Caenorhabditis elegans: one gene and its partner. The protein of the gene in region 1 interacts with the protein of each later gene in a pairwise test. Each region holds a gene or a part of one and is shown on either strand. Other genes may lie near its edges.

Region 1 (14,788 bases):
AGCTTAATAGATATTTTTCAAATTTTCGTAGCATTATTGACTGGAAAGCTATTGTTTGAAATGTTTATTGTGCTTGCAGATTTTCCATCGATCTTTCATTTATCTCAACTATTTTTTTCAGGGATGGCTTCGGCAGCAGTCTCTCTTGGGGCTAGGCTAATTGGACAGAACGGTAGGAGCTTAAATTTCAATTTCAATTGTTTTAAGACTATTCTTTCAGTGCCGAAGGTGGCTGTGCGCGGAGTCGTGACATCAGCCCAGAATGCGAACGCTCAAGTGAAACAAGAGAAGACATCGTTCGGAAATTTGAAGGACAGTGATCGTATCTTCACCAATTTGTATGGTCGCCATGATTATCGATTGAAAGGAGCCATGGCTCGTGTGAGTATTTATTTGCCTATTTTCAAATAATCTATTCGACAATTTAAACGAATTTTATAATTTTTCAGGGAGACTGGCACAAGACGAAGGAAATCATTCTAAAAGGATCTGATTGGATTCTCGGAGAACTCAAAACTTCTGGTCTCCGTGGAAGAGGAGGAGCCGGTTTCCCATCCGGAATGAAGTGGGGATTCATGAACAAACCATTCGATGGACGTCCGAAATATCTCGTTGTTAACGCTGATGAAGGAGAGCCAGGAACTTGTAAAGATCGTGAAATTATGCGTCACGACCCACATAAGCTCATCGAAGGATGCTTGATCGGAGGAGTTGCAATGGGAGCTCGTGCCGCCTATATTTACATCCGTGGAGAGTTCTACAATGAAGCTTGTATTCTTCAAGAGGCCATCAACGAGGCCTACAAGGCCGGATATCTCGGAAAAGACTGCCTCGGAACTGGATACAACTTTGACGTCTTCGTTCATCGTGGAGCTGGAGCCTACATTTGCGGTGAAGAGACTGCTCTTATTGAATCGCTCGAAGGAAAGCAAGGAAAACCACGTCTGAAGCCTCCATTCCCAGCTGACATTGGACTTTTCGGTTGTCCAACAACTGTGACCAATGTTGAAACTGTAGCTGTGGCTCCAACAATTTGTCGTCGTGGTGGTGACTGGTTCGCTTCGTTTGGACGTGAGAGAAATCGCGGAACCAAGGTTAATAAATGTTGAATAATGATTCAAAAGTGGAGCATTCAACGTCAATTTTTAAATTCGATTCTTCACTTCTTTCTTTTAAAATTTCAATTTTTGATTTAAAAAAAAAACCGAAATTTCAGCTTTTCTGCATCTCCGGTCAAGTCAACAATCCATGCACGGTCGAAGAAGAGATGTCCGTTCCATTGAAAGATCTTATCGAGCGTCATTGTGGTGGAGTCATCGGTGGATGGGATAACCTTCTTGCCATCATTCCAGGAGGATCTTCTGTCCCACTTATGCCAAAGTAGGGGTTTTTTTTTTACTTTAAAAAAATTGTTAAAATTCTAATAAATCTTTTAGGAACGTTTGCGACACAGTTCTCATGGATTTCGATGCCCTGGTTGCTGCTCAATCTGGTCTTGGAACCGCCGCGGTTATTGTGATGAACAAGCAAACTGATATCGTTAAATGCATCGCCCGATTGTCACTTTTCTATAAACACGAATCTTGCGGACAGTGTACTCCATGCCGTGAGGGATGCAATTGGTTGAACAAGATGATGTGGCGTTTCGTTGATGGAAAAGCCAAGCCATCGGAGATCGATATGATGTGGGAACTTAGTAAACAGATCGAGGGACACACTATTTGTGCTCTTGGAGACGCTGCTGCATGGCCAGTTCAGGTAAAACTATTAGTTTATTAAAAAAAAGGAAATTTTGAACAATTATTTAGAAATAAAATTTTTAAGCTTGACGTGCAAAATATCTCGTAGCGAAAACTACAGTAATTCTTTGAATGACTACTGTAGCGCTTGTGTCGATTTACGGGTTCGATTTTTTGAAATTAAATTATTTTCGAATAGCAAGAGCTATATTTCATTTGCATTATTTTCTCATTTTCAGCTTAATTTTAATATTTTATCGATTAATCAATTATTCCATTGAAGCCCGTATATCGACACAAGCGCTACAGTAGCCATTTTAAGAATTACTGTAGTTTTCGCTACGAGATATGTTGCGCAATACTTATCCTCAGAATTTTATGTTCCCGTAGTATAATCATTTAAAAAAATTCAAATTCCATTTCTTTGCAGGGACTCATTCGCCACTTCCGACCAGAACTCGAACGCCGAATGGCCGAGTTCCACAAGCAAGTTTTGGCCGAGCAGGGAGCCAAGCAGATCAGTCAATGAAGGCCGTTTTAGTGTTTGTAGCGCTGACTTTTTAATACCTATTACTTTTTTTTTCATTGTATTTTTCATTTTTCGGCTCGATTTCGTCTCCTCCCCATTTTTTTAGATGTTCTATAGTAAAAGAATGAATGAAACGAATAAAATTTATATATGGTTGGTTGCCTAGTTGTGTTGCTAGGAGCTGCTCGGAAGCCGGCTCGCATTTTCAACTTGACTCCAGCTTCAGCTTCACGTTATGGTTGGTTTCTTTATTTTAAATTCAATAGTTATATTATTATTTCCAGATTCCATTCACCTCTGCTCTCTTCGCACTTCGTTGTCATGTCATTGACCTTCTGCCAACTGGACTGATGTTTCTTGGGATCTCATATGCTCTTGTCATCCGTGCAATGTTCACATCAGTCGTAGACAACTCTTCGGATAATTCCACCTTGTCCGTAGAAGATCTGACCTACAATCTGTTCAATATTTAAATTTTTCAACCTCGCTGAATGAATGAGGTTTTATTGTTTGACATGAATGAAAATTGAACAGAATTATAGAATAACACAGAGGAGGGCGAGAGGTATTTTTGGGCGAAACAAATAGAAACGAAGAACCCGCGTAGGTCTCAGGGGGGAGCCGACGATAGTTGATTCGAGGGAAGAGGGGAGAGGGAGAAAATACACGAATGGAAATGGAATTCTACAGGTAATATATGAAGGTTCACATTATATTGAAAGGGCACTGGGTGTTATCTAGATGCAAAATTTTACGATTTTTGCGCCAAAAATACGGTAAGAGGTCTCGAAAAGACAAATTTCGATAATTTTTCAGTTTTTACCTCACTAGTCAATCTGTTAAAATTTGAGTGTTTCTAAAAAAAATTCCGAGACCTGGAACCATATTTTTTTAGCCAAAAATTCGAAATAATTCTCATCTGGATAAATTAAAAGCAATAGCTGAAACTAGACGAGACTACACACTAATGGAATCTATTCTGTTAGAGGTGAAGACTGGTCCACTCTTTTCTCGTCATCTGATCGTACATGTAGTTGTCGAATTTCGTGTGATCTTCTACGACGACGTGAGCATCGCGAACGTTATTGTCATCCTTCAGTGAACAATTTGAGGCAAAGTTATGCCCGAGGTGATGGTATAATGAAGATCGACGATCCTCGAAGGCGCTCGTTGGGTCCAATCTGAAAAGAAACTCGTTAAAAAATATATTAATTTGTCTTCAAATATTATACGGACGCGAGAATTTGCGGCAGGTCTTCTTGACACGACAAGTTTTCTGATAAATTCGAGAAAGTGTGTGCCTTTAAAGACTGCTGTTTTATCGATTTGTCATAGTTTTTCTTGAATAAAAATACTCTTTAAAGGCACACACACCTTTTCGCATTTAACAAATTTGTCGTGGCGAGACCAGGTATCATGTAATAAAATAAAGCGAGATTTTCAAAGCTTTGATTTTCCGGAGAAAACATCAATTTTTAAATTGTTTTTTTTTTCGCATCCATGTAATATTGCCGTAATTACTAACAAATCCTTGACTCCTTCGAGAAATTCGACCTCTTCCCACAGAATATAGCTGGTATAATACTCTGTTATAGGCATATCCTTGACGGTGATGCACAACAAATTCATGAACATCGAGAATTGTTCTTGTGACGCCTTCGACATGTCCATTTTGACGAGATGCCGTTTCTCGAGCACGCGTCTCTGCAAAAAAAACGTTGGATTAATTTGGTGAGAGCACCCAGAAGCTGAGAGTGCATGACGGCTGGATATGCAATGTGCTGCTGCTCTAAACGCCTCATTTTTGCTAGTTTTTTTGTGCGAAACTTGCCATTTTTCTTCCTTCTTTTCAGTCGTTCATCGCAAAAATTGTCAGTATTTCAGACTTTTCTGTTCAGAAAAAAAGTCAAGATGCGAAAATTCGACACTTTTAGGGTCGCAGATGGGTCTCACCGCGATCCAAAAGTTTTTGGTAGTATTTTTATGGTACTTTTGGAGTCCGATCCGTTTTTTTTGCATTTTGAAAGGATTTTTGAGCAAATTTCTGTTTTTCTGTGATTTTCAGATTTTTAATTAATATTTTTGAAAAGGAAAATTACAAATAACAGTTTTTCAGTAGCGAGATCACAGCCAGGGAAGTCGTTTAAAAAAAATGTGTTGCTCTAGTTGGTATGATGAAAAAAAAATTGTTTCTTTTTTTTTTGGTTTTGGAGATATTCAGTTTTTTGTTTTTAGTCCAAATAATTTTTTTTGGCAGATATTTTAAAAATGTGGTTTTAAATTTTTTTAAATGGTTTTTTAAAAGTTAAAACTAAACCAAAATCGACATTATTATTTCGGTTTTTTTATCTCAATTTTTAATTTTTAGTTTTTTGATCCAAAAAATTTCGAGATCCATTCGAATAACCATAAGTTTGTTTCTCAGAAAATTTGAATTTTTCTACATAGTTTTGTGTTTTTCTCCGTATTATTTCTCACATACACCCCTTTTTTTCAATTTCCAGACCACAAAATAATTGGAATTTTTTTTGAGAAAAAGGAGAGCAGGGGAGCACACGAGAGACATATATCTCTAATTGTTATTGTCGTAGTCGTCTCGATTTTCAGCGCCGCAGACAGACGAGTAGGCGACGACGAAAACAAGGCAAAAATGGAGGCAAAAAGGATATATCCGCCCAGAGAACTGGAGTGAATCATGTATTTTTTGTGTTATTTTGTGAAAAATTATTTCTTTTGTGACTAGAGGGCAATTTTCAAAAAAAAAATGAAACGAAACTTCTAAAAAAGCCATAAATTTAAAACCAAACAATGACGATTAGGGGATATCCCTGGATAGTTTCCGGGCTCTAATCCAGGCGAGCACACAATTCATTGCTAACCTTTGCTTCTTCGGCTGGATTGGCTATCGCTGAGAACATGCAAGTTAGCAGGATAAAAGTGGTGGCCGGTAATCGCATAACTCCAGCATCGACTGAAAATTTGAAATTTGCAATTTTTCATGAAAAATTATAATTATTTTTGTTGGTAAGCAAAGAAAAGAGAATGAATTTTTATGAATTAATGAAAACAATTTTTTAAAAAGCCACAGGATTTTTAAATGAATGAATAATAACCGATTACAGAGGAACTGAAAAAAAACTGAAAATGAGTGTCTGTCTGAGCTTCTGACACTGCTTCTTCCCTCTCTATGCCTCCCCCGGCAGCAAAACAACTTGAAAAACAACAGCTGATTTGGCATTGGAGCGTCTATGCAACCGTATCGAGTCTCTGCGTCTCTCACTCTCGCTACGAATGTTCCAAAAAGGCCGCCGTGAAGAAAAATGAGAGAGAGAAGGTTCGTGTTGAGAGACGGAAGAGAGGGCAGAGAGAGTGGTTTCAATGGAAATTTATGATTTTGTTGGAGAATTTTCTTTAGTGAATAGTAAAATATCACGAAAAAATCTAAAGATACTTGGAAAATCTGAAAGCAATTTCTATTACAGAGTCGCGAAATTTTTAATTTTTGCGCCCGGCCTCGACACGGCAATTTTCGTCAGATACAAACAAGTGTGCGCCTTTAAAGAGTACTGTAACTTCAATTGTTGTGGAATTTTCATCGATTTTTCGTTAAAAATATTAAAACTTAAATAAAAAATAATGAAAATTCGATGAAAATTCCGCAACATGTGAAGCTACTCTTTAAAGGCGCACACCTGTTCATATTTAACAAAAAACATTTCGTGTCGAGACCGGGCGTCGTGTTTTTAAAAATTAGCACTCACCACGCATTTTTTGCATCAATTTCAGAATATTTGAGATTTCCAAAAGCTACAGTGAAATATGAATACAACAAATATTACACAAAAAGAGATCTGAATGGGGTGAGAGCAACGAGAAAGACTGTCAAATCTCCAATTAGGGGCTGAAAACGAAAACAAAATTCTGAGTCGGGGCGGGCAGACGTGATATTATGTTGTTGAATTCTATAGGGAAGGAATCTACGTTACTAGGTCTCGAAGCGACCGGAAATTTTATAGAAAAGCTACGAAAAAGGGGTTGCGCCTTTAAAAAGTATTCCATTCAAGTCTCACTTTTTTGTTTCAGAAAATTATTCGATCTGCGAATTGTGGAAGGATATTCGTAGCAACTACAGTACTCCTTAAAGGCGCACACGCTTCATGCCTGCTCTACAATAAACATTTTCTATCGTGTCGAGACCGGCTACCGTATTCTTTTGTAGGAATTGAAACAATTTCGCATCTTGGCATCTGCAAAGGACTGGAAAAAATGTTTTAAAAACCAAAAATTTGCAGAAAATAGGTCATTATTTAATTACGTCAAAACGCGTTGTTCTGAAACTGAAAAAAATTAATCTGGAAAATTAAAAAGCTGACGTGACCTTAGATTTGAAAAGAAAATGATATGCATAAAACGTGGGACCTGTGGAAAACACGATGACGAACGAACCTTTGAAATCAAAGAAAAAACACATTATTTCGAGTTAGTCTAACAATTTCCTGTACGATTTTACAATTTTCCCGACGAGCAAATGCCTCGGAAGCGTTCTAGATCCGAAAACTACGAGGATCACATTGCGATTCATCATACGCTTCAACCAGTGACGTTCATTGAGGAAGAGGTAATTTGAAATTCTATGAGACTTTTTTTTTTTAAATCTCAATCTCATAATTTTCAGTTAATTCTGGTGTGGCGATTCCCAGTGGACATATCCCAATCTTCTATCGGTGGACGGACAACTTTATCAAATGCCTGTACCCTCATTGCTCTGAAAATTGCCGAGCTCGTCCATATTCATGACATCAAAATGCCAATACCGTATCCAACTCGAAATGATCGTGTGGCGGCCGGTGCTGAGAGGACGCAGCGGAAACATTATATTCGTAGCTCTGCAGATGAGACGGTTGTGGATAACAATGGTTTTGAAACTGTAAGACTTTTTAGATTAAGCTTAATTATTGGATTATAAATTTCTTAATTTCAGACTTGCCCACCGCGACTTATTGGTTGTCTGATTAATGGGATTGTGGATGGAAATGACACTTATTCAAAGCACGCTGGTGACGAATCTACGAGAAATTACAACTTGCCAGATGCAATCAAAGCATGTGATCTTAGTTTTTCGGAAGTTGATTTCAAACTAACTACTGGATCAATCAAAGAATCTCTACCAAAACTAATCAAGATGGCTGTTCGGCAGTAGGTTCAAAATTTCAAATTCTATAAATTTCCGGCATTTTTCAGTCCATTATTTCAATCGGAAAGTCGCCTTGTCTTCATCATGATGAGCTGTGTTCGAACAGTTTCGATTATTTTCGATAGAAATCAGGACACGCTAACTCTATTCGACGCACACCAGCATTACTGGCCAGATAATAAAAGTAATATTTTATAGTTAAGCTTAATAGACCAATTAAATATAATTTTCAGAAACTTATAAGCACGGCGCTCTCATTGGTACTTGTAGCTACAGTAACTTGCACTCATTTGCAAAATGGATAGAAAATTTTGTGTATCCGGATGTCGCCGACCATGTTAATGTGAGGATCTACATTTTTTTTCACCTGTCATTACAAAATTTCAGGCATTTGAAATTTCGCTGATAAGAATTACGGAAGCCGGCACTAACAAAGCTCAAGGTGTATGTAAATATCCGGATAATAAATTCACAACGATCCGAACGCCAGTTTTCCAGGCTATGAATTTGCAGGAGGACAAAGAAAGTAAGTTTGATAGTGATTAAACGAAATTCAACAAAAACTAGATTGCAGATCTGAAATTGTCGGACCATCCAGTTCTCCTCGGCATTCTCTCCAAACCCCCAATCGTAAAATGTGGAGTAAAACGACGACACGACTCAGAAAATGGGGAAAACGAATTTACAATAAAATTAAAGAAGGTATTGAAACACAGCAGTTAAACATAATTTTAATTTCTTTTCAGAAATCGCCTAAAACGACTTCTGAGCGGACTTAATTACAACTTGGAAGATTCTCAACAATGTGCCATCGAGTTTTATGTGATATACAGTTTTTCTCTAGTATTTAGAATAAAAGTTTTTAATAAATTCATTTTGTTAAAGAACTAGAAGGAAAATAGGCAAAAGAAAATGCAAAAACAAAAAAGAAAAAATAAAGAAAACTCCAATTGCTCGTCATATGTGATGCGTTACAGTAATATCTGTGCGGCACGCAGACGCAACATTGCACAGCGCGGGAAAATTTGTTGTTGACAATTTAAGTTTATACTCCCAAAAAATTGTTTTTTCTCTTTTCAAATGAAAGTTTTGCTGAAGTATTGTGTTTATTTTTGTTTAATTAAAAGTTTTTAAGCGGCGGCAGTGTTAATAAGTGATTCAAGCTGGAATTATCAACTGAAATCAACCAAAAAATCGGCCTGTCGGTCTGTTCTAGCGGTAGAATTCTAAAAACATCATGAATACAGTTTATATGTTTGTTTAAAAACATTTATTGATAAACCTTTTCGAAACGTACTAATTCCCGCCGTATGGCCGGTTTTTAGTGGACTAGGCAACGCTCGGTTTCTAGGCTCTCCCGCGCTATTATACTCATTTGAATTTATCCGCTTTTTATTGAATTTTGAATATATATCGAATAGTATTTATTTTCAGATATTAACAAATCAGAAAATGGACACTGAAAACATCGCCGACGCCTCTGATATTCGTGTGAAGGATGCTTCAGGAGATTCAGATGAAAAAGGAAACGGGACTACTACAGAAGAAGAGACTGTCGAGCAGAAGTAAACTTTTGCTGCAGAATATCATCAATAAAATCACTTTTCGTATTCCAGAGAGAAGCGTCTCGCCGAGTTGCTTGCAGCTGGACGCCGTGCGTTGAAAGTTAACGATATCGACAAAGCATCGGATTCGTTGAGTGAGGCTACTGAACTGAGCTCCGAAATTTATGGAGAAAACCATGAAAACACGTTCGATTCTCTTTACTATTATGGCATGGCCACACTGGAATTGGCGAAGGAGGAGAGCCAACTTCTGAAAGGTCCAGGTGAGAAGGAAAGCGGAGATGAGGAGCAAGCTGGAAATTCTGATGACAAGACTGACGAAGAGAATGGAGAAACGGAGAAGGAGGACGGAGAGGAATCCGGTGAAGAAGAGGACGATGATGATGATACCATGAAATTATCATGGGAAATTCTTGAGGTTTCTTATTTTATTCAATGATTTTATGCTTAATTGTGATTATTTTCAGACAGCTCGTTGTATTGCCGCTGCCAAAATCGAAGCTCTAGAAGCTGAGCAGAGTGGAATCAGTGCCATTGAGGAATGGAACCTGAAACTCGCTGATGTACTGGTTCTCCTCGGCGAGCACGGAATATCAGATGGAAAGTATACTCAGGCTTTTGAGGACTTGGATCGTGCCCTCAACATTCAGCGCAATGTTCTTCCACCGTCGTCGAGAAAAATCGCCCAAACCTACATTCTCATCGGAAACGCGTGTGCTAGCGATGCGAATTACGATGAAACCGTTCAGTACTTCGGCAAAACCAAGGACGTACTCATCGCCAGGCAGACTGAGTTGAAGCATGAGCTGGAAAGAGGTGTTGATGATAAGGAAAAGAAGTCTGAATTTGAGAATGAGCTGAAGGAGCTTGAAGAGATGATGCCAGGCGTTGAAGAAATGATTGCTGATGCTGTGCACTCTGCAGCACAAGTTGAGGAAACTAAGAAGGCCATTAAAGCGCAATTCGAAGGATTCACACAAGTATTGGCAAAACTTCCACAAGAAGCCGGTGATCAGAAGGAAGCAAATGATATTTCTAGCTTGGTACGGTTTGAATTAACTTCCCGTAGACTTTTTAAATATTCAATTAACAAATTTCCAGGTTCGTCGTCCAGCAAAACGAGCAGTGGATGCTCCAACTGACAATCAAGCAGTGAAGAAAGAAAAGGAGGAGGAAGGAACAACTTCGATCTGAATATTGATAACCTGTAATTCTAAATATTTCATCATGATCTGACCTACTGAACTACTGATAATGTATCAATTAACATTTTATCTGTTATCCGAATTTAAGGATTCTAAAGTAAAACTTGTTCTGTATATATATATTCGCCATATATTCGTTTTTATAATTTGTTTCAAATCTTTTTCATACTTCCAAAATAATTTTACTATTTAAAACAGGATTTTCAGCTTCATTCAAATTCGAATTATACTTGTATGAGTGAAGAATTTGATGATTGCCATTGGAAAAATATGATCTCTGCTAATAAACAGTTTGATATTCAGCTGGGAGATGAAATTGGAAAGGTAATTTTTTTTAGATAATTAACAATTTAAAAAAAGTAAACTTAAATTTTCAGGATTTCTTCACCCAGGATACAGTGGTCTGCGCGTTTCGAAACAAGGAGAAGACCACGGATTTTGTCTTCACATCGGGTCCAATTATTCTCATTTGTGATGGAACGACGCGACGGAAGATGATTAAACGACGGTTCAAAATGGAGTTTGATATCAAAAAAGTGTTCTTCCACTCGTTCATTGTGACTCGAAACGCTGAAAAGTTGGCAACTGAGAATTGTGGTGGACCTGATACGAAGCATCGGGATTATTTGGTTGTGTGCGGTGAGCATAAGCTCCAGTTCATATCGCTTCCCGACTATCATTTCTATCACTATGAAATTCCTTTTAAGGTGAGAATTTAGTTTGAAATTCTGATAATTTCAAATATTTCCAGCTTCGCAACGTGTTCTCCTGCTCGACAAGTCTTCTGGTCGAACGGTTCTACGATTCATCCAGCGAACAAACCTTCCACCATCACGACACATTTCACCTCTACTCGCTATCCGGTCCATTCGGCGAGCTTCTCCCGGTTATCTACAAGACAAGCGGCTACCATCCACAATGGAAATTCTGTTGGCAATCGCATCGAGACGAGGCTGGACTCGTTGACGCTCAGCAAAATTACGTTGTTGTCTATGATCAGAAGGAGAAGACGCATCGGATTTATATGGCACGAGAGACACAAGAACAGGAAGTTCACGCAGCGATTCGATACGTTGAAGCACTCAGAAGACCGTCTGATTCAACAATGTTCGCGTCGAGTTTGGCGCCGAATTCTGCCGGCAGAACTACGCATTTTGATCCGACACTCAACTCTCCCGCCGGTAATTTTTGAAAACTTGAGCTTTTGGATAAATATATTATTCGTATTGTATCAGACATTCAAATCGTCAATATTTAGTTAATTTACAGTGATTTAAGTTAAAAACCAAAAAAACCTCGTTTCGAACAGGAAATAATTCGATTTTCCCCAAAAACTACTAAAAAAATCAAATGTTAAATTAGAAAGAGTTGTGATTAAAAACTAAAAAATAAATATTTTCAATTATGATATAGTGTGGAAGTCCGAGTTAATTTATATTCAACAAAAAATCATAATTATTTTCCAGAAAATGTGCTCTCCGAAGTGATCAGCTCGGAAATTGATAGCCGCTCACCGTTCACTCCTCATCTGCGATCCGGTTTTGGACATTCTACTCCAAACAACCCGAACGCTCCAGGCTACCCTGCAACACTTCCAACACCGAATTTTGAAGGTAATTTTTTTTTTTAATTCATAAAAATTTATTAGCACCATTAACCTCAAGTCGTGGGCGATCGTGCACGATGATGATGATCAAAATTTAAAAGTGTTATGCTTCGCCGTTGCTGATGCGCTCGTCCTGGCACTCGATTCTGTTTGACTTGATCTTCGAGGGGGCTCAATTGAGACGTCAACTTGAGCAGTTGAATGTCGCAATTATTTAGAAGAATTGACGGGTTGTTGGGAGAAGACATACGGCGGTTTCTGAAAATACGTGAAGTGAGAATTATAGCTGATGTCCGTCAAATTGTTACATACCGTAGTGCTGTGAAGTCTTGGCTATTCCTTTGAAGAGCTCCACCCGCGCGGAACATACTTCTTCGTCGATATGGAGTAATTGGAGATGATGGCTGAGTTGTTGTAGTCGTCGAGTTGCTCTCTGTTGAGCCAAGAAGAGCACACATTGGAGCTAGATTTGAGTAAATTAGAATATGAATTTAGCCAACAGAAACCAACAACAAAAAAACTATAAAACGAAAAGCACACGGCACACAGCAAACCTAGAAGTTAGTGTATTTATTGTTATATATATATATATATATACGTGGTGAGAAGGAAAGTGTAGAAGCGAACAAAATCAACTGAAGAATATCGAGAAAACTATCTAAGTGATCTACGAGGTGGTGGTGGGCGGTGTTTAGATGATGGTGAGCTACGACACGAATGTGAATGATGAACTTGAGACGCACCGATTGCCGGCGACATGTTCGGTTCGAGAAAATGGGAGGCGGATCGGGAACGTGATGAACGCATCGATGCCATTGAGATTATCGAGCTGGAATGTTTAGATTTTTTTGTGGAAGATATGGAAGAGCACTTACTTTGTAATGCTTAACCGAAGAGGTGTCTTTTCACTTGCACATCCCTCATATCCTCGTTTCATTGATTCGATTAACATGCAGGAAAACTGTCTCCAAGACTCACAAACTTCTTCTTCTTCACTTTTCTCCGCTGCCCTAGACCTTATTCTCAATATTCGCCGAATTCTGAAAACCAGTTGATTTCCCACCCGTGATGTAAATTGTCAAAAAGTTACTTGCTATCCTCTGTGACAACCCGCATGTACATTTTGCTCATGGCGATCGGAAGTTGTTGGGCAAACGGAGCCCAAAAGCAGTTGTCATTTCCCTCATTCATATAATGTCTATAAACATTTTTGTGAGTGTTGTCCCACCCACGCATATGACTAACCGATGGCGTGCTCCGAGACGGAAGGAAAGCGTCTTGATCATTTCTGGATCACATTTGTGAACTTTGATGAGTATGTTGAGAAAGTCACGAACTTGATTGATGATGTTGAGAAATTGAGCATTTTCCTTATAGGTAGCGTGCATAGTCTCTGGTAGATCAACAAGAGCCCATACCCATGTGGGTGTTAACTCGGCGGATTTGAGCCAAGCCTCACTGAAAACAATTGCTTTTCAGGAACAGTCTGAAAAAAGAGCTCACCTAATGGCATCACTCAGAAGCTGTGGATCGTGCGAGTTTATTGTATTCCACGTATGTACTACATGTTTTCGATGTGTAGATAGTTGACGAGCAGACTGATTGCCCATTTTGTTGCATAGTCCGGAAGATCTCTGATACACTGAAAATGAGCTTCATCATTAAGTATCTCATCTATCCTAACTGAGCCAATCGTAAAAGAACAGAATGAATCAAAGAATGGATTTTCTCTTTTCTATCTGTTTATAGCAACGGAAGCTTCAAAGAGAGTAGAAAGAGCACACAGTTGTTTAGCATGCTCTTTTCGCGAAGGTGAATAATGAATAATTATGGGTATTCGAATATGTTATGATGAGCTCACGAGGACGTAACATTATTCAAAGAAATAGCTGAAGAAGTTGTTTTTCAGACATTCTCGTCGAAGATGCAATTTTCACAGAAAAAAATTGAGAAAGGAAGTGCGTCGATCTTCTCAAAGATGATTATATAAAGAGAAGAAGGTCACTCATGTGATAGGAGGTTCAAAACAATGAAAATGCAGAGCCGATTTCTTTTTAAAATCGAGTAAAACTTGGAGCGGCCGCCCGACTTAACTAATAGCGTCCGGAATATGATAAATGGGGCGGCGTCTTGGTGCTTCAGCATTGCAAGATGAGACCAGCAGCAGATGTAAAAACAAAATACGTCCTCGACTAAATAAGAAAAATGATTGACAACGACGTCCGATGTGTTCTGGCAGCTATAAGGAAGAAAAAAGACGTGGGAGGGGAAGGAGGAGTCGAATTGCACACGATATTCTGAATTTCGTTCTGAAATTCGTCTCGAATGTGAACAAAAGTTCTACGATGAGAAAATCAAATTAGATTCGGGGGTGTCACCGCGACTGAACTCTGATTGACGAGAGAGCCTATTGACTAGAGAAGGAGATCTGTGAATGTGAAATTTGAAATCGAAACAATTTGATTATCTTCTCTTCTACGTCAAAAAGGCGTCCGATAGGCGTGAGAAGCACTCATGAAAATTGGAGAGGGAGACCCCCTTTTTCAAAAAAACTGAATTAGACTTTTGAATGAAACGGATATCAGATGAAGCTTTGAAACTTTTCGTGGACTAACTCTATAGAGATCTACAACGAGATTATTAGAGCAACAAGGCCTGATCTTGAAAACGGAGCTCTAAAGGAGCTCCAAACTAGATCAACCTAGCTGCTGCTGCTGCAAGAAATAGAGTCACACTTCCGGGCTGGAAATAGCAAAACTGGAAGAGTCGAGCAATTTGTTGTGTGGCGCCTCATATTCCACGTAAGGCCTGTTGAACATTGCCGCCGCCGAGTGTGCACACCGACAAAAGAGACTTTGTGTTGCTGCACATGTGAAATTGTAGATATGTATAGCCCTGAGGGCGTAAATCACATTTGCATTCGGTGCTCTTTTCGTTGTCGTCGCATCGC
Region 2 (16,906 bases), on another chromosome or scaffold:
AAAAAATTTTTGCTATGATATTTAGTGCCGGGTTGACTTACAGAAAAAGCTACTTACCCTCACTCTGTCATCTATGCTCCTTGTCGTCTGTTCAGGTGTTGACATTCCAGAGAATGATGTAGATGAAAATCCAATTGCTGTCGCAGGTCGTTGTCCAAAAACCACTTCCTGTGCCTAAACCATGAATAAATATAATACGAATGCTCTTTTTAAACGAGAGCAATTACATTTTTCTGGAATATGCTAACTGGATCAAAAGAAGATGCAGATGGAGCAATGTTGTGTTGCCGGTTATACTCATCAGTTATGGATATTTGAGGACAGGCTAATGAGGAGCCTTCATTTGTAATTCTGAAAAATGTATCGATAGAACATTCCCGAACCTTAATCACTCACTGAGATTGTGCGCATCCGTGAGAGAGTCCTTTAAATTCTTTATGCAATCTAGTCATATCATTATTCGTTTGCAAAGCTTGCTTAAAAAGTTTTTCCAAATGATTTTGTTGCTGAGCAGAAAGTGACGGTGAAGCCCAACTGCTTCTTCGTTCCGCCGGAGGTGCTTTTGTATACGGTGTTCGTTGATACCTTGGTATTGGATTTTGAATTCCTCCACCCAACTGATTACCAAGGCAATGGACAGTATTTCGTTTTCCACCATATTTCGACAGATAAGACTTTCCTTCTTCTTCCACTGTCGGAAATGAGATTGGAGGAGCTGGCAAGTTTGCGAGATGTTGTGTCAAATCGAAGTTAGTTGGCAGAAGAGTTTCACCGGCGGAAGCTCGGCGTTCACTCTTTGGAACTGGTAGCATTTTTGATAAGTCTGCAATTGGGATGGTGGCAAATGCCGGGTGCAACGATGGAAGTGGGAATTCGGCAGCTTGTCCTTCTGGCATTGGTGGAAAGCCTAGCGGTGGATTCATTGAGAAGTTGTTTAGTAACAGGTTTGGTGGTGGAAACTGTCCCATCATGTTTGGCGAAAGAAGCTGCTCACTTGCACACAAGGTGTGGCGTCTGAAAAAAGTAAACAGGATGTAATAATCCGAGGTGATAATTGCAAATCCATTTCATTAGCAATAATGGAAAAAGTCTAAATTACCATAGCATTTTTTTTTAATTTTTCACAAAGTGAGCTGATTTGAGATTTTTTGAACCGTTAGACTGTCACAGCTTTAAATTGGTATGCAGTTTTAAAGGCTCAGTTTTTTTTTTTGCTTGAATAGACTGAAATTTTCTTAAAAATTACCGAATTTCATTAAATGAGTTTTCACAATATACCATATTATCAAAAACAAACTATTTTATCAAAGTTAATTTGGCTCGCCACAAAAATTTTTAAGAATTTTATAAAAGGTTCCATTAGAGGTCGTCTTTTAGTCTATTAAAGCAAAACCTGACAAACTTTAAATTTAAAAAAAAACGAATGTGAATACTGGTGGACGGAAAATGCCAATCAGTAGTTCTACAAAATAACCCTATTGAGCATATTTTCTTAATAATTCTCATTAAAATATACAATTTAGAAAAATATTCGCTTAGTGAAAGCAATCGAAAAACTGCTCGAAAATTGTCTGAAAGTTGAAAATTGACCGAAACACTTTTTGATATATTTTTTTTTAGGAAAAATATCCAGATAACATGCTCCACTGGCTATTTTTTTGGAAATTTTATTGTCTATTGCAAGACACTGCTGTTACTGGTATTTTCAGCACCAGTTTTTTATAGAAACTTATTCACATACCTATTTTCAAATCTATTTCCAATAATATCTAGCCCGTGCGGTGTTCCAAACTGTCTCTCGTGATTCATAGGTCCCATCGAGCTCATCGGAGAATCATCGCACAAATCAGAATTTGAAGAATCATCCGAGTCCTGAAATTACATTCGGCAATATAGAAAAAAAGACTAGTTAAATATCGTACACAATCTGGGCTTGAAAGGTTAAGTTGGGCAAGTTGATGGGCAGATATTGTTGGCGTCAGTGGTTGCTCGTCAACGTTAGCTTTTCCACTAAGAATTGAACCTCTTGATCCACGTCGCGGAAACTCTTCTCCAGTTCCTAAATAAAGAAAATTTGTTTTAATTAAATTTTTTGATTATTCAGACCTTCTAATGTTCCTTTTTTAACTTTATCGGCCAACAGTTCGTAGGTCGCAAAAATTGGGCTTTCAAAGTCTCGTCCAAGAACAGCCTAAAAATTTAATAATTTATGCATTTTTTTCAGTAATATTTTATATGGTAACTCAACTTGTTTCCTTTCCTTACTGTATAAAATAATATTATAAATTTTCTGTTCAATTCCAAATCACAATTTCATTTTTACAAATATGTATGTGATAACGAATTCATCGTCTGGTTGGTAGATGCAAATAAACGTGTTTTGGTATTTTGTGTATTGATGCCTATCATTTAGAAAATTCTTGAAGTAGTTCCAGTGGGGGAATGGCTAAATATAATGGTTGAAAAATTCAATAAAAATTTCCAAATTTTATATAATGTTTCGAAACATGGAAAAATAATAGGTTTTGCCTAATTCAATGTGAACCTCCCTCCAAAATTATTTGCTCGATAGAGCGCAATTGCACATTTTTTTATTTATTTCATGTTTTCAGTTTATTCTTACTTGAAATTTGAAGAAACAGTAAGGATAAATGCAAATTTTTCATTGGAAAAAACAACAGTAAAGCAGATTTTCAATCGAAAATTTGCATTTGTCTTGACTTTTAATCAAAATTCAATGTGAAATTACACTGAAAACACGTGTTATCAGGCTGTCCCATTACGGTTTGATCTACAAAAAAATGCAGGAATTTTTTGCCCAAAAAATGTGACGTCAGCACGCTTTTAACGATGCGAAATCAGTTAAATCTTCTGCGTTTTAACTCCCGCATTTTTGCAGATTTACGTAGATCATACCATAATGAGACACTCTGGCATCACGTGTGACAGCATAAAAAATCAGTGGGAAATAAGAAAACACCGAGAAAAATTAAAAAGTGCGAGCGCGCTCTCTCGTGCAAATTATTTTGACGGGAGGATTAAATTGAATTAGGCAAAAACTATGATTTTTCGGTTTTCAAAAATCATTTAAATTCTAGAAAATATTATTTAATTTATTATCTAGGATATTTTGTTGTTGTGATACGTGTTTTAAAGCCATTTTTCACTGGCGCTCATTATGCACTGTGTTGCCATTCTTTTGAAAAGTTATTCAACCGAAACGTTTTCATTAAAAGACGGTGTGCTTTTGGCAAATGAGAGACAAGCTTTCCACAAGCTATGAAATCTGCCAAAACGCTTAACACCTAGTTAGAACCCACATCAATAATTTGTTCTTCACTCCATTTCCCATGCTGCTGCATGAACATCATAATTGTAGGATTCAACTTTGTGGACTGCTGTCGAATTTCTATAGAACTTGATGGGATTGCTTCCAGGAGTTGCGCCGCTTGATTTTTTTGCACATCATCTCGGATGTGCATCCATCTGTGTTGAAGAACGTTTTGGATTGTGTATCTTTTGCCAGGGTTCAACACGAGCATTTTTCGTATAAAGTCCGCGCACTCTGGAAAAAAGAAGATGAAGACGTCATTCTATGCGGAAACATTCTAGAGAGCCGCTCACCAACAGAAACCCAATACGGAATCTTAACCAGGCCAGAGAGAACGGATCTCTTGAGTTTGTTCACTGAATCACTCGGGAAAGGAAATCCGCCGGCAACGAGAATGTATAGCAACACCCCCATGGACCAGATATCAGCTTTCATGCCGTCGTACGAGTTACCTGCAACGTTGGCTTGGAATAAGAGAAAAAATGGCAAAGTTCTCACAAACCTAATAACAATTCTGGTGCGGCGTAGGGTGGTGATCCGCACCATGTGTTCAAAAGTTGATCGCCGGTTTGAAAATTTGAAAACCCAAAATCTGAAAAAATATAAGAATTCAGCATTCCTTTTCGTGGGTTTCAAACTATAATCTCTTACCAATAATTTTAATGTTCGAATTTTTGCCTAGTAGAATGTTTTCAGCTTTTAAATCTCGATGAACAATTCCTTGCGAATGAAGATATGCAACAGCGGACGCAGTTTCAGAAAACCATTTCCGAGCAACATTTTCCGCTACCCGACCCTTTTCTATCAGTGTCTCTGGAAAAACAACTTTGCCGAATTTTTCCATACACATCATAATTATACCATATAACTCTCCACTGCTACAGTATTCGCTTACAATGTACAACATGTTGTCAACCCTCATTATCTGAAAATAAAGCTATAACATGAGGGATTTGACAATATGAACTCACCTCATAACTTTTAACAATATGCGGGTGATCGATCACTTTTACAATTTTCACTTCTCGTTCCAATTTTATCAGATTTTCTCGGTCTAACGCTGACACATCGATACTCTTGATTGCCACCTGCAATTTGTATGTTTTGCTGCATTATTAAGAGTGAGCATTCCAGAAATGTACATGGAATGAGTATTTGAATTTTACAGTGCACATAGGAAATTCAACAAAAAAAGCCAGTGTGGCATGCTCTCTAAATATTGTTTCATTAAACTTTGTGATAAAATATAGAAATTTTTTTAAGCTGAAAATAGCTATTAATTAATTTGAAGCTACCGAAAAAGTGCTCAAAAATTGTCTCATAGTTAAAAATTTCCGGAAAAAAATTCTAAAATTGTTCAAAACGATTGATTATGTTGGGCCAGGTATTCTGCACAAGTACCTAATTTTTTTGAATTTATATACTCACTCAATAAAAAACTTTAAGATTAATAAAGCGGCACTGGATAAAAAAAAATTTATATCAGAATGAAGTTTCTTGAAGTCTAATGCAAATTGACAACTTTTCAAAAAATGGGATTTTTTCACAAGCTTAGTGTTTTTTATGAACTTTCAAGCATATCTTTGACTGTAACTGTAAAGTTTCAAAACCTTTCTTTTAACTTTTACAATGATATCTAAACGATTCATGACTTTTTGAACCTGAAAAATAAAACCGGACAAACCTTAGTCTTAGCAATCTTGTGCCGCGCTATCCGAACTGTGGCAAAATTGCCTTTGCCAATTGCCCGACCAACATCATACAGGCCTATCTGAAACGAATTGTTTTGTACATAATAATGATGGTACTGTTTCAGTTGTTTTCCTTCTTTTCGCCTTCTGTACAAAACACTTTCCACTATTCACTATATTAGCAATATTTGTTCTTGTGAATGAGAATCGTTCAACCAGGCGGACGCACGTTTTGCTCTTAACCCCCATATGCGGAGCGCGTGCAGACTGACGAACAAAAAACCAAATCCAATTATAATCGACAACAATACATTTTGACTCATTCTCTCCCATCATTATGAACATCACCACCGCAATTTGAAGGGTTGCTAGTCAGGCAAAATATCTATTCGAATACAAGTTTGTCAAACTTTGATCATGCAAACAGTCCTACTATCACTTCGAATTAAATCAATTGGCTACGTGAAATGATTGTGTAATATGCTGTTTTACCACATTTTCCATCAATGAAAGTTCAATAACATCGGTTTAAGTTGTGTTTTGGCAGAATCGAAATTGCAACACTCTTCGTCAAGGAAATTTTGAATTTTTAAGAAAATAAACTTTTTACGTTTTACGGTTTATCTGCACTTTGTTTCCATAGTAATTCGAATGCAATGGAGAATCTTAAATTTAGAAAATGTGGGAAAGATTTTTTATGCAACTGCATAATCGCATCGGAAACCAACTAACATGAAAGGAAGTAATGATTTTTTTTCCAAAAAAAAAACTACGCAGGTTTTTTTATGGAACATTGTTTTAAAGGTGGAGTAGCGCCAGTGGAGAATTTGTTAAAAACCTTTTTTTATCGACAACTTCCAAAAAGTGGCGAAAACTGGGATTTTTTCCAATTTTCAAAAAATCATAAAATTCAACTTTTTTAAAAATGTTTTTAACTGTTATTTGATTACTGTGGTGTGGTGAGATAGCAATTTTTTAAATTCACAACTGACGCTACTCCACTTTTAATCTATTTTATTTTTTTAACTTCTTGCTAAAAACGTTGCATGACGTAAAGCGGTCAAAAATGCTGTGCAAAAATTTGTCGGACGAAAAAAAAAGAAAAACTCTCAAGCATCCATCTTTATGTTCTGCCGTTAAACTCTCGGCGCTCGTTGATTTATTGCCGACTGTCGAACGGATGCGTGGGAATTTGCTTGGGCATTAAACGATAAAATCAGAAAAAGACTGTTCTATGGCGGGAAACAAAAACGACAAAACGCACCTTCTCACGGTAGATTGCGCAATGTTTTTACATACATATTTTATGTAAATTGTGTGACCTTAAATGAATGGGGAGAAAAAATAAAGTGCAATCGCACGCCGAACAAGTCAATTAACTAGGCACCATTCAATTAAGTGTGGGTGTTTTGTGTGTGTGGGGAAGGGAAATTGAGAACAAAGAATGGAACAGAGAGAAGAACACCCACCTTTTCAAGGCCCATACGCCGCCGTGGCGCAGCCATTGCAGTGTTGGTGTGGCGGCGCCTGAATGCGACAAGATAGTGTCGTAAGTTAAAACAGAGAGTGCATAGAGTTTTACCACCAGACGCACATATACATACATACACGCTCTCACTCACCCACTCACTCACTAACGCTCATTGCCGCCGCCTCCGCCGCCGCCTCGGCGTCTCTTCTTCTCTCACGCTCGCCTTCCAATACACTCAATAACGCTCACCGCCATGGCGCGCTCGCACACAATTCCTATTCGCTTTCTTTCCCGCACTGTGTTTCTCGATTTTCCGCGCCGCTTTTTTCCCATCTTCTCCCACCATCCTCTCTCTCACTCTCACACTTTGGACTAAGGCAGCGGGGGGCCCGCACACACGCACACACACACAAACAGACACACATACACAGGAAAAACGCACCCGTCCAGCGACCACTGTCTCTTTTTCTCAATGTCTCGGATTTGCGTCTCTCTCTTTCTCCACGCGTGCCCGGGTCCCGTTAAGAACTCTCGTCGCTTCTTGCTGATCTCTCACACTGACTCATACAATGCCTTGAGGAGCTCAACCGGGCGGCGGAGATCGCACTGCTTGAGCAAGTTCAAGAAAATAAACTTTTAAACCACCAACAAATTAATTCACGTAGTTTTTATAATGATAAAAATCATTCAGCATTTGTATATGAGCATTGTAATAAATTTCAAATTATAGTCACTTGACTTATATGTGTATATGTTATAAAAAAGTTGATTGATAGTTAGGACTCTAAAATAAAAAATGCCAATGGAACTATAACTTTTCCAATTAAAAATACTTGAAATTAAAAACATTGAAGGATTCAAGTTTGATCCGTTCTTCAAGCACCACGTGGTGTTAGATTGTCCCATTTTGGTTTGCTTTATGTAGATCTACAAAAAATGCGGGAGGTGAGACGCAGAGTTCTCGTCAAATTTTTAAAGGCAAAAAATTCCCGCATTTTTTGTAGATCAAACCCTGATGGCACAGCCACACACCACGTGAAGCGCCATGCACCGCGCATCTGAAAGTCAAGTACACTGCCCGGTGGTACTCCCACTAGGCTTTATTTTAAGCCACGTCCAAGCCAGTGACTGTGGCCAATATTTTCCGTTAAGGTTGTGGGAACCTAAAGGGAGGCAGGACTTGTATTTCTCATGATTGCTACCGTCCTACCACCTGAGCATTTCCTGTAAGTTATCATGGTAACAAAAATGCAAAAAAAAAACAAAAAAGCGAAAGGTTCAGCAATTCAATGTGAACTATGTCATAAATTTCAAAATATCTACATATAGTAACCTGATTTATTTGTGTGTATATCATGAATAAAGTTGAATGATTGATAGCACGCTAGATTAAAACATTAAAACACGTCCATGGTCTGAAAAAAAGTAAGAGGTGTTACAGTAATAGTACAATCAACATTAAATGACAAAATTAAACCCTTTTTAACATAATCGGGAAGTGAAACAAAAACAAACAAAAAATTGAAAAAAAAATGTATCAAATGAAAGTGTGGTAGTTTTGATGAAGATCTGTGATGATGAAGAAGTTTCACTCGCCTTTGTAGAGTATCCACATCCGCGGAGTCTCCACGTATGCTGTAATTAAAATTCAATTTTAAAAATTCTGTCATTCGTTTTTCAGTGATACCTGTCGGCTCATCTGCTGCCAGGTAGCCTCCGTGCTCTTCATACACGTGATGTTTCATCTCGGGGTATTCCGCGTGACGTTCGTGACAAATCGCGCAAACATATCCATGCTCATCTCTCTTGTGTTCCTGGAATCAATATAATTAAAAGTTCATATAAGGGTATTCATGACAAAAGGGCAGGCACCAGGATATAATCTGATCTCATTGTGAGTCCTCGATTTCATCGCCGTAATAACATTGATTTTTCTTTTTTGTTTTTCTTCTTTTTTACATGTATGTTAATCCTATCTCAGAGCACCCCTTCAAAAAAAAACAAATGTCATTTTTACCATGTGATTTTTTATTATGACAAATGCTGACTTGAAGTTAATGTGTGAAAGAATAAGCTCACCTCCATAGCAGTGTATCGGTTTGCACGAAAGTCGCAAACTTTGCATTCAAACTTTATAATTCCCGTATGCATTCTCTCATGGGTCATCACTGCAACTTCACTAATGAATATCTCCTCGCAAAAATGACATTGGAACGTTTTTGTGAACACATGGGACATCTTCTTGTGCTTCCGAAGTTTACGCGGTGTAAGGAACTTCATGTTACAGAACGAACAGCGGAAACCAGAGTTCGCTCCACGATGGAACTTCTTTCGGTGATTTAGGAGACGATTGTCGGTGCAAAGATTTCTGATCGGAGTACATTCGAAGCAAACATAAGTCTGAAAATATTAATTATTTAAGAGCTTGTCTTTAGTTTGAACTGGAACAAAGATCCAGAATGTAGTATTCAATTATAAGTTTTAAAATAAAGAAATTTAAGTGTATTTGTTATTTGTTATAAATGAGGGTTTTAAACTAAAGTAGCGCCAGTGGGGAAATTGTTAGAAACCCCTGGCGCCAAAATGGCCAAATACAACACTTTTTTGATTTTTTTTTTCCCTAGTCCAACAGGAGCTATTACTGAGATTTTGCCACTTTTTGAGATAACTATAGCAATGTCGCATGATCAGAGTCCTACAAAGTTTGAATATTAATATTTGAAACAAAATTGAAATATTAAAAAAATAGAAGGAAATTTTTTTTTGATTGGCCAGGTAACATTTTTAGAGTTTTTTGTATTGTTTCTTACCAATTCACAGTCGTGATTCGCCATCTCTGCATCATTTTCAACACATTTAAAACATTTGAGACACTGCTGAAACTCGACCATCTCCTCGTGCTTCTTTGCAAAATGTTTCTTGAGGGAAAACTCATTTCTAAAACGTTTATCACAGAACGGACATTGCGGCGACACTTTTTTCTTGTACGGACGCTTTAGTTGCTTGATTCTTCCATAATAGTCAAAACGTGGGACCAGGCCGCCATTGTTTTCTCCGGGAAGGGGAATACTGAAAATGCATGACGAAATTTAGAAAATAAACGGAAAACTGCTGAACCTACTAGTTTGGATCCTCAGATGGTTGAGAAATCTCGTTTTCCGGCGGGATGAATCCTCCTGTTTGTAGCTCTTCAATGCGATTTGCTTCGATTTCTTCAAGCCGTTGCAGCTCCACTTCTTCTTCTTGTTCACGAATATATTCCTCGTAGAGATCTGGATGTTTGTCGCGCAGATGTCGTTCATAAATGTTCTTCTCGATAAATCGATTCTTGCACTTTTTGCATCGAACCATTTTCTGTCGAATCAGCTTGCGTACAATCCGAACATCCGTTGGAGCATTCGGTGGAGGAAGATCAATTCCATCCTGATGATCGGCTAGAGTTAGTGTCTGTTGAACTTCAGCAATACGGCAAGGAGGAAACTTCGAAGGGTCTCTGACCCGAAATCCCAACTCATCAAGAACAATTCGCTCTTTCTGGATGGGCTTGATTTCTCCTCGAATTTGCTTCATAAATTCTCCGACTCCACTGAGCTTTGCACGTTCTTTCTCTGGCTCTTCTTTCTCAACAGGAACCTTTGCTGACATTCCGAGTGCTTGAGCTAGAAGTTCTGAAAAAACACACGTTATTAGTAAAAACTTGTAGTTAGATGTTTCAAATTACCAAAACCGATTCCCTTTTTGATCTCTTCATCGTCGTCATCGTCCTCCTCGTCGTCATAGAGCTCGTCCTCATTAATTGTCGTTTTCTCTGTTTCAAGTAATGGAATCAAATCGGTCTTGTTATTCAAATCCATCTCATCGTCGTCGTAGGTGCCTTGCCAATTTGCTTGGTTGGTGTCGATAGTAAGCATCAGCATATTACTGAAAATTAAATTAATTAAATGATTTTTTCTGCATATTTTGAACGTATAGGCCCGATATGTGCTCAAACAAATGATTTTCGTAATGAAATCTTCACAATTATGGCGGTTCGAAATTTGGAAAAAATGGCCTAGCCGTACCTAAAACCTTAAATTTTGGTCACTTCCCGTATCTGATCGGTTGGAAGTTCACTTTTCTGAATTAACATCCCTTTGGACAATTTGGTCGTTTGGTACATTTAAAACTGTTAGGTGATCAATTTTTGTTATTTTTGGTCACCAATCGGCTTCAAAAGTACCCAAATTTACAAAATAAAGTACTATCAAAATATGCAATAAAATTTTATAATTCCAAAAAAGAAAATTTCCGACCTCTGCGACACAAAACAAGTTGACAAAATTAAGGATTTCAGCTAGTTTGGCTGTTTTTGAACCGACATAAAAATATTTTGAGAAATTTCATTACGAAATTCAAATATAGATTAACCAGCCGTGGACCGCACCTTCGGCGCGGCCCCCGACTTCTGGGGCTGAAAATTGATTTTTTATGAAACTACCGTCACCCTACAGTATTCCTACCGTACCACAATTGTACCACTACAGTACCCCGACTATATCCCTACACTAACCCTAACTCACTATCCCTACAGAAGCCAAAACTTCACAGACTACAAAGACCACATAGACTACAAACTATGGACACACAGAATAAGCGCTTTATATATAGTAAATGATTTTTTCGGATTTTACATATATTATAAAAAGAAACAAAAAAAACTTACTCCATTGTTGAGGATGAACCTTCTTCAATCGCCGGTTCTTGTTTCAAATTTTGTATCGTTGGCGCCTGAAATTGGGAAGAATTTTTGAGATTAGAAAAAAAATAACAGAAACTCACCTCTGTAGGTCTTGGTCGCGTTATGGAGTCCTCCTGTTTAATAGTGCATTGATTTGGGTCATCCATTGCCTGAACCGTGGGAAATAGTGGGTCGATAGTATGCGCGCGCGCGCACCAAAACACTGCACATTACAGGCGTACGCAGCGCGACCGCATCGCGTCTCTTCATTGAATTTCAGAGTTTCATCGATTAACTGGTTTTTGCAGGATTTTAAATAATTTTTTCAATTCATTTGATTGGAAAATAAAATAATTTAGGTTTGTGGAACTAAATCGAAATATGATATAAACATTTAGTTAAAAAATATATTAAAAAATACTATTTTCGAAAAAAACAAAAAAAGAATTACCGATAAAAATGTATTTGTAAATAGAAATATTGTAAAAATAATAACCTTGAAATATATATGAGACGCTCTCAAAAACGAAATGGAAGAGTTAATGCTATGGGTTTTCTAGTCCGCCTGTCCTCAAACAAAGAACGAAGGCTTCGCAGACAGATGTTTTAAAGATGAAGTAGCGGCATTGAAAAACGTGTTTAAAACTTCTCTATTAAAACCAAAATAGGCGAATAGTATTGTAAAACTTTTCAAAAAAGTTTAAATGTTTTATTTAAAATATATTTACTTATTTTTGCAACTCAAAATTTGGAAGCCGACAAAAAAAGTTTTTTCTACGCTTTTTAATACTTTAATTTTGTTTTCAATATTTCTGTTAAAACATTCTAGTGTTTGGAACACGCGATATTGCTCTGGATTTTCATAAAAGCTCTTTTTTTTTTTAAATTCTACTCTACCTCTAGCACACTGGGTTAACCGTTTAGAGTAACATTATGGAAATAAAAAAATATGAAGGTTTAAAAAATTTCATTGTCAAAATTATGAACACATATGAACCGGATTGATTGAGGACAAGAACACCACTTTACACGTGGCGATTGAGAAGTTTTAATGCAAATAAAAACATACAAAACAATGTTAATTCAAATTTTATATCAATTCTTTGTAACAATCCAGGTGCCGCCACCATATGGAAGTAGAGAAGCAGAAACCTGAAAAATGTAAAGTTTCTGATTTTTAATTAGTTATCTTAATATATTGGTTCAGGGTATTTTGAACGTATATACCAACAATGTGCTCAAACAAACGAATTTAGTTTTGAAACTTCACAAAAACTAGCGCTGCGACACTGAAAACTGCTCAAATTTTGAGAGAACAAGCCCAATTTTCTTTTAAATTTTGAATCCCCATAAAACATTTTGAAAATTTTTTCAGAAGTTTCATTTTGAAATTCGTTCAAAATACCCAAAACCGATACTCCCCCTTTCACTGTCTCAAAAATTTTTAAGTTAAATTTCTCACCCGGGGGTCTTGTTTGATGCGTATGTTCATGTTTCGAATGACCCTGTCATCGTTGGTCATGTGATCAATCGATGACATCACTCCACCACCATTGAGTGCCTAGAGAAAACAAAACGTAAAACTATTATTTCTAATTAAGAAATGAGGGACCTGGTTAATGATTAAAAGACCACCACTTCGAATCAGTCGAATTGCGTGTTCATAATCATCCAAATAGTTTTCCCTCTTAAAATCATCCAGAAACACAAAATCGAAAGTGTTGGGTTCATTTGTTGCAAGTCGAGGCAATGATTTTTCGATGCTTTCAGATGTTCTCATTTGAATTCTGGACATTTGCGTAGCCGTGAGTTTTCTTGCGTGCTTCTGCCCAATTTTATCCCAGAAAACAGCATAGGCCGGATGCTCAAGTGCGACAACAATTCCTCGAGAATCAACTCTTTCGGCGACACCGAGTAATCCAAGACCAGTGAATACTCCTGAACGTTTATTTTAACAATACAAATCAATTTTTCATTATAACAAGTACGTTAAAAAGAGCCACACCACGTGAAGTGACTCAAAGTTGAGCCTGGTCGAAAATCTTTTTTGGAAAGCACCGTGAAATGAAAAATCATGGCTTCATGGCACAACATTAACCTGCATAATATCAGAAAAATCGGTAAACAGCGAAAAACATTATGAATTTTGACTCGTGACTTGCTTAAGCCCCTCATAGAAAAATAAAATTTTGATCTATTCTCCAAGTAACATACATGAAATATACTCACCAATTACTAAACATCTTGAAGGTCTATAAAGTGACATTAAAGTTTGAACTAGTTGCACAATTTCCGGGGTCACTGAACTGTGCCAAGAAATGTGTTGTGGGAGTGATGAAGCGGTTTGGGTGTCCTGAAAAAATTGTAACGGATAAAAATTTTAAATTTTGCCTTACCCTGAGCAAATCTTGAATGGAGTTGTCGATCATTGTTGAGTGACTGTAGCAGTATTGGAATAAAGGATCAGAAGTCTCAAAACTTTTCAGTTTGATGGAGCATCTTTGATCGGGAACTGAAATTAAAATCATATACATACAACTGTAAATTATTTATGTACACATATTAGAGACAATGCAAGATGTACTTACCACATGTGTCATATTTATTGGTGTGGGGAGCAGAGGTGACCGCAATTTTTTCAACAATTGGAGGGCGTGTGAACTTTTTAGCCTGAAGACAAAATCAGAATTGTTTCTCTAATTCTATGAAAGAATGGTGATTTCATACTTTAATGATAAACGGAATTCCAGCCGTTGAGCTGTAAACAGTCTGATATTCACTTGGTGGAGTAGGGATCAACATTGTGATTGTGGATGGCTCAGATGGAAGCTCTGCAGTTACTGACATTGGGGTAGTCCAAAACACAGAAGTTGTATATTCAGGAGTCACAGAAGGTGTCACTTTCTTCCAAACATTGTTCCGGATAATAGATGATGGACGGATGAATTGTTCGGTTGAGCTGAAACATATTGGGTGAGTAATAAGTTTTGTCAATTTTTTTTGTTTTTTTTTAAACTTTTATAAAAAATAGGAAACTGTAAGTTATGTATATTTAGTCAATATCACATATATCCAAGCACTCAAAAATTAGAATTTCTGAAATTTTTGTTTTTTGATATTTTTTCAATTGGCGTTTGATTGATCTGTTAGTTATATAGTTTTATTTCAGATAAAATTGGGTTCTGCAAAAAATTAATTTTAGCTTGATTCTACCACTCAATCTGTACTTACCTGAAATTGGCAAAAAAGAGTATTTTTTCAATCGTTTAATTTTTGGTTCGTTTTTTATTCTTGTTTGCAAACCACATTAATTAGTGTTTATGCACGTTTGTATTTTGTTTCAGTCGAATTCGTTCAATAAAAAACAAATTTTCCGGCAAACCGACAAGCGGCACATTATAAAATTCCAGATAAACGGAGTTGATAATATTGTGCTGGAGAAAGAATTTTGGAAGTGCCGACAAATCTTATGTAAGTCGCACAAAATCACATGGTTGTTTCACGCCTACTAACGCACCTACCTCTTTCATGCCCACGTTTCTGCCTGCCTACCTGTGTGCCTACGTCATGCTTGTCCGCTTACGTGTCTAATCAACCTATCCACAATACCTAACCGAAACTTCTAGTCTGCCTACGTGCCTCCTTCGTGCTTTTCAGCATAGTCTGGTTCCAATAAAAATAAAAATAAACACTAATAAATTTGAAAACAAAATATGTCAGAAAAATCAAACAGTGGACAAAATCCACCTTTTTCGACAATTTAAGTTATGAACACAATTAGTTGCTTTAAATAGGTAATACCAGCCTAATTGTTTTGTGAAAAATAATTTTAACATACAACTTTATAGCATTCACAATCAAATTGGAATTTTTTTTTTTACAAAAAATTATAATTTTGAGTGTAAAGTATATTAGAACAGCTCGGATATGGATGCTCACAATTAAATGTACGTAGGTAACTTACAGTTTCCTATAACTACCATATAAAGGTGCAAAAAGTATAACTTTTCCATTAGTTACCTATTACCTATTGTTACCTAGTTACCTATCGTGAATAATGTACCCCACCTTATTACAGCCTGCGAGGTACTTGTCATTGGGCGGGTTGTGGTAGGCCAGATTTGATATTGAGGCTTTGTGAAAATTTTTTGTGCTTCTGTAGCTGGCAAGATAGTCTTCACTTGAGTTGTTGGTGGAGATGTTGTAGTTGGTTTCGTTGTCGTTGAAGGTTGAGCTGTCGTAGATTTTTCAGTTGTTGAGGTTGGAAAAGTTGAAGTTGTAGTTGTTGGAGTTGTAGAGGTGGTCATGGGAATGTTTGGTGAAAATGTAGCATATCTGACTCTTTCAGTCGTTGTTGTAAATCTTATGATGTCTGAAAGTTTTGAAATATTGGAGGGAGGAAAGTTTAGGAAAAATCCAATAACTTTATTTTGTTGTGCACACCTGATATTTCAATCTGAAATAAAATTCTGTCCGAAATTTCTGAAGTTTTTGCATATGAAAATTTAGTACTAAATCCTGTTGATCGTTAAAATTCAAAACGTAAAAACTGTTAAGAATTAATAGAGAGCCCCATAGATAGAACCCCAAAAAGTGTGTCGCTGCGTGCAAACTCAACAGGATTTAATACTAAATTTTTAGACTTATTCTAGAATAGTTTTGGAACTCATTCCCCCACACTCTAACAGTTTCTCACCGTCTTCTGTGGTAGTGTCTTCAGTGGTAGTTGTAGGTTTTGTTGTCTTCACGAATTTGATAATCTGCGGTTCGGTAGTGGTTGTATATCTAAATCGTGGTCTGGGATCATAGGTTGATGTAACTTCAGGGACTGGTGTGCTTGTAGTAAAATGTGGCGTAGTGTAAGGAAATGTGAAAACAGTGGGCATTGGTCTTGGAGTTGGCTTGCTTGTTGTCTCGGGCTTATCAACTGGTATTATTTTCGGGCGAAATCTTTTCGGCGTTTTTGGTAGTGGAGTTGATGTTGTTAGATTGAAAAGCTCTCTTAAATTCGTGGCTATTGTCAACTTATCCTCATTCCCAATTGCCGATGAAAGGTATTGACCGATGTTATTGAACAAGTCTTTTCCTGAACCTGAGAGATTAAAAAAACGTCAAAAAAAGTCAGTTAGAAGTACCAAATTCCAAAAATGAATACTGGGAGTCTGGCTCGTTGAAATCCAATTTTTCATGAAACGCAGTTTGTTTCAAGGTTTCAAACATTGATCCCAGATTAGCCTTAATTTCATTTATACAGTTTTGCAAAAATGGAAGAAAACATTGACTTACAAATGGTAGCCATATAAACCCGTCAGCAAATCCCACTGACGTTAGAATTAAAGCAAATGGAATAACAAGTCGCATTGTTATTAGCATCGACTGTTGAGTATGAGCCCTAATCTAGCAAACTGTCTAGGATGAGAAAAGAGCTTGTCAAAAAATGCTTCCCTTTTCTCGTTCGCGTCGTCTCATCGTGTCTTCCTCCGTTTTGACAGCTCTCGCCGTGACATGCGATGAAAAACGAAAAAGTGTTCGGTACGAGTGACCCGTGTCCACATGCGCTATCGAAAAGCAAACGGTTTCGGATCGAGTCGGATCTTTAAACTACGATTGGGGACTGCTGTGAGGACATGAAGTTTTGGGGGATCATGTTACAGCATCCTGTACTTTTTACTGTGTACATAACTGTTATTTTCGTA

Evidence for each region.
Region 2: the proteins of nasp-1 (region 1) and tra-4 interact in a two-hybrid assay, tested with the Caenorhabditis elegans proteins (2 studies listed by BioGRID).

The regions. Positions count from the first base shown.
Region 1 is NC_003280.10:11,097,722-11,112,509, forward strand, and holds nasp-1 (Protein NASP homolog 1), read left to right. Parts: upstream 1-8,890; 5' UTR 8,891-8,914; coding exon 8,915-9,027; intron 9,028-9,078; coding exon 9,079-9,445; intron 9,446-9,494; coding exon 9,495-10,070; intron 10,071-10,128; coding exon 10,129-10,221; 3' UTR 10,222-10,349; downstream 10,350-14,788. Other genes in the region: nuo-1 (NADH dehydrogenase [ubiquinone] flavoprotein 1, mitochondrial), read left to right, coding at 124-172, 221-381, 450-1,094, 1,217-1,380, 1,437-1,758, 2,170-2,268; C09H10.4 (uncharacterized protein), read left to right, coding at 2,504-2,506, 2,553-2,741; C09H10.5 (uncharacterized protein), read right to left, coding at 3,251-3,449, 3,794-3,972, 5,148-5,239, 6,030-6,036; C09H10.9 (YqaJ domain-containing protein), read left to right, coding at 6,797-6,886, 6,944-7,195, 7,250-7,464, 7,510-7,646, 7,696-7,805, 7,850-7,988, 8,037-8,164, 8,209-8,241; apc-1 (Anaphase-promoting complex subunit 1), read left to right, coding at 10,503-10,556, 10,610-10,939, 10,984-11,413, 11,699-11,845; glb-4 (GLOBIN domain-containing protein), read right to left, coding at 11,892-12,096, 12,151-12,301, 12,582-12,667, 12,714-12,878, 12,929-13,036, 13,084-13,296, 13,342-13,448. UniProt on the Caenorhabditis elegans protein: Promotes normal hermaphrodite (XX) development, in concert with zinc finger protein tra-4 and histone deacetylase hda-1, perhaps as components of a complex. May act redundantly with nasp-2.
Region 2 is NC_003284.9:2,845,861-2,862,766, forward strand, and holds tra-4 (Zinc finger protein tra-4), read right to left. Parts: upstream 11,386-16,906; 5' UTR 11,378-11,385; coding exon 11,312-11,377; intron 11,261-11,311; coding exon 11,196-11,260; intron 10,415-11,195; coding exon 10,215-10,414; intron 10,162-10,214; coding exon 9,615-10,161; intron 9,563-9,614; coding exon 9,304-9,562; intron 8,894-9,303; coding exon 8,573-8,893; intron 8,308-8,572; coding exon 8,181-8,307; intron 8,129-8,180; coding exon 8,082-8,128; 3' UTR 7,819-8,081; downstream 1-7,818. Other genes in the region: Serine/threonine-protein kinase kin-29, read right to left, coding at 58-174, 228-351, 397-1,014, 1,742-1,872, 1,923-2,059, 2,107-2,191, 3,321-3,565, 3,625-3,783 and 6 more; comt-1 (Catechol-O-MethylTransferase family), read right to left, coding at 12,306-12,362, 12,673-12,771, 12,823-13,148, 13,440-13,563, 13,607-13,722, 13,799-13,880, 13,938-14,169, 15,279-15,582 and 3 more. UniProt on the Caenorhabditis elegans protein: Probable transcription factor. Promotes normal hermaphrodite (XX) development, in concert with histone deacetylase hda-1 and nasp-1, perhaps as components of a complex.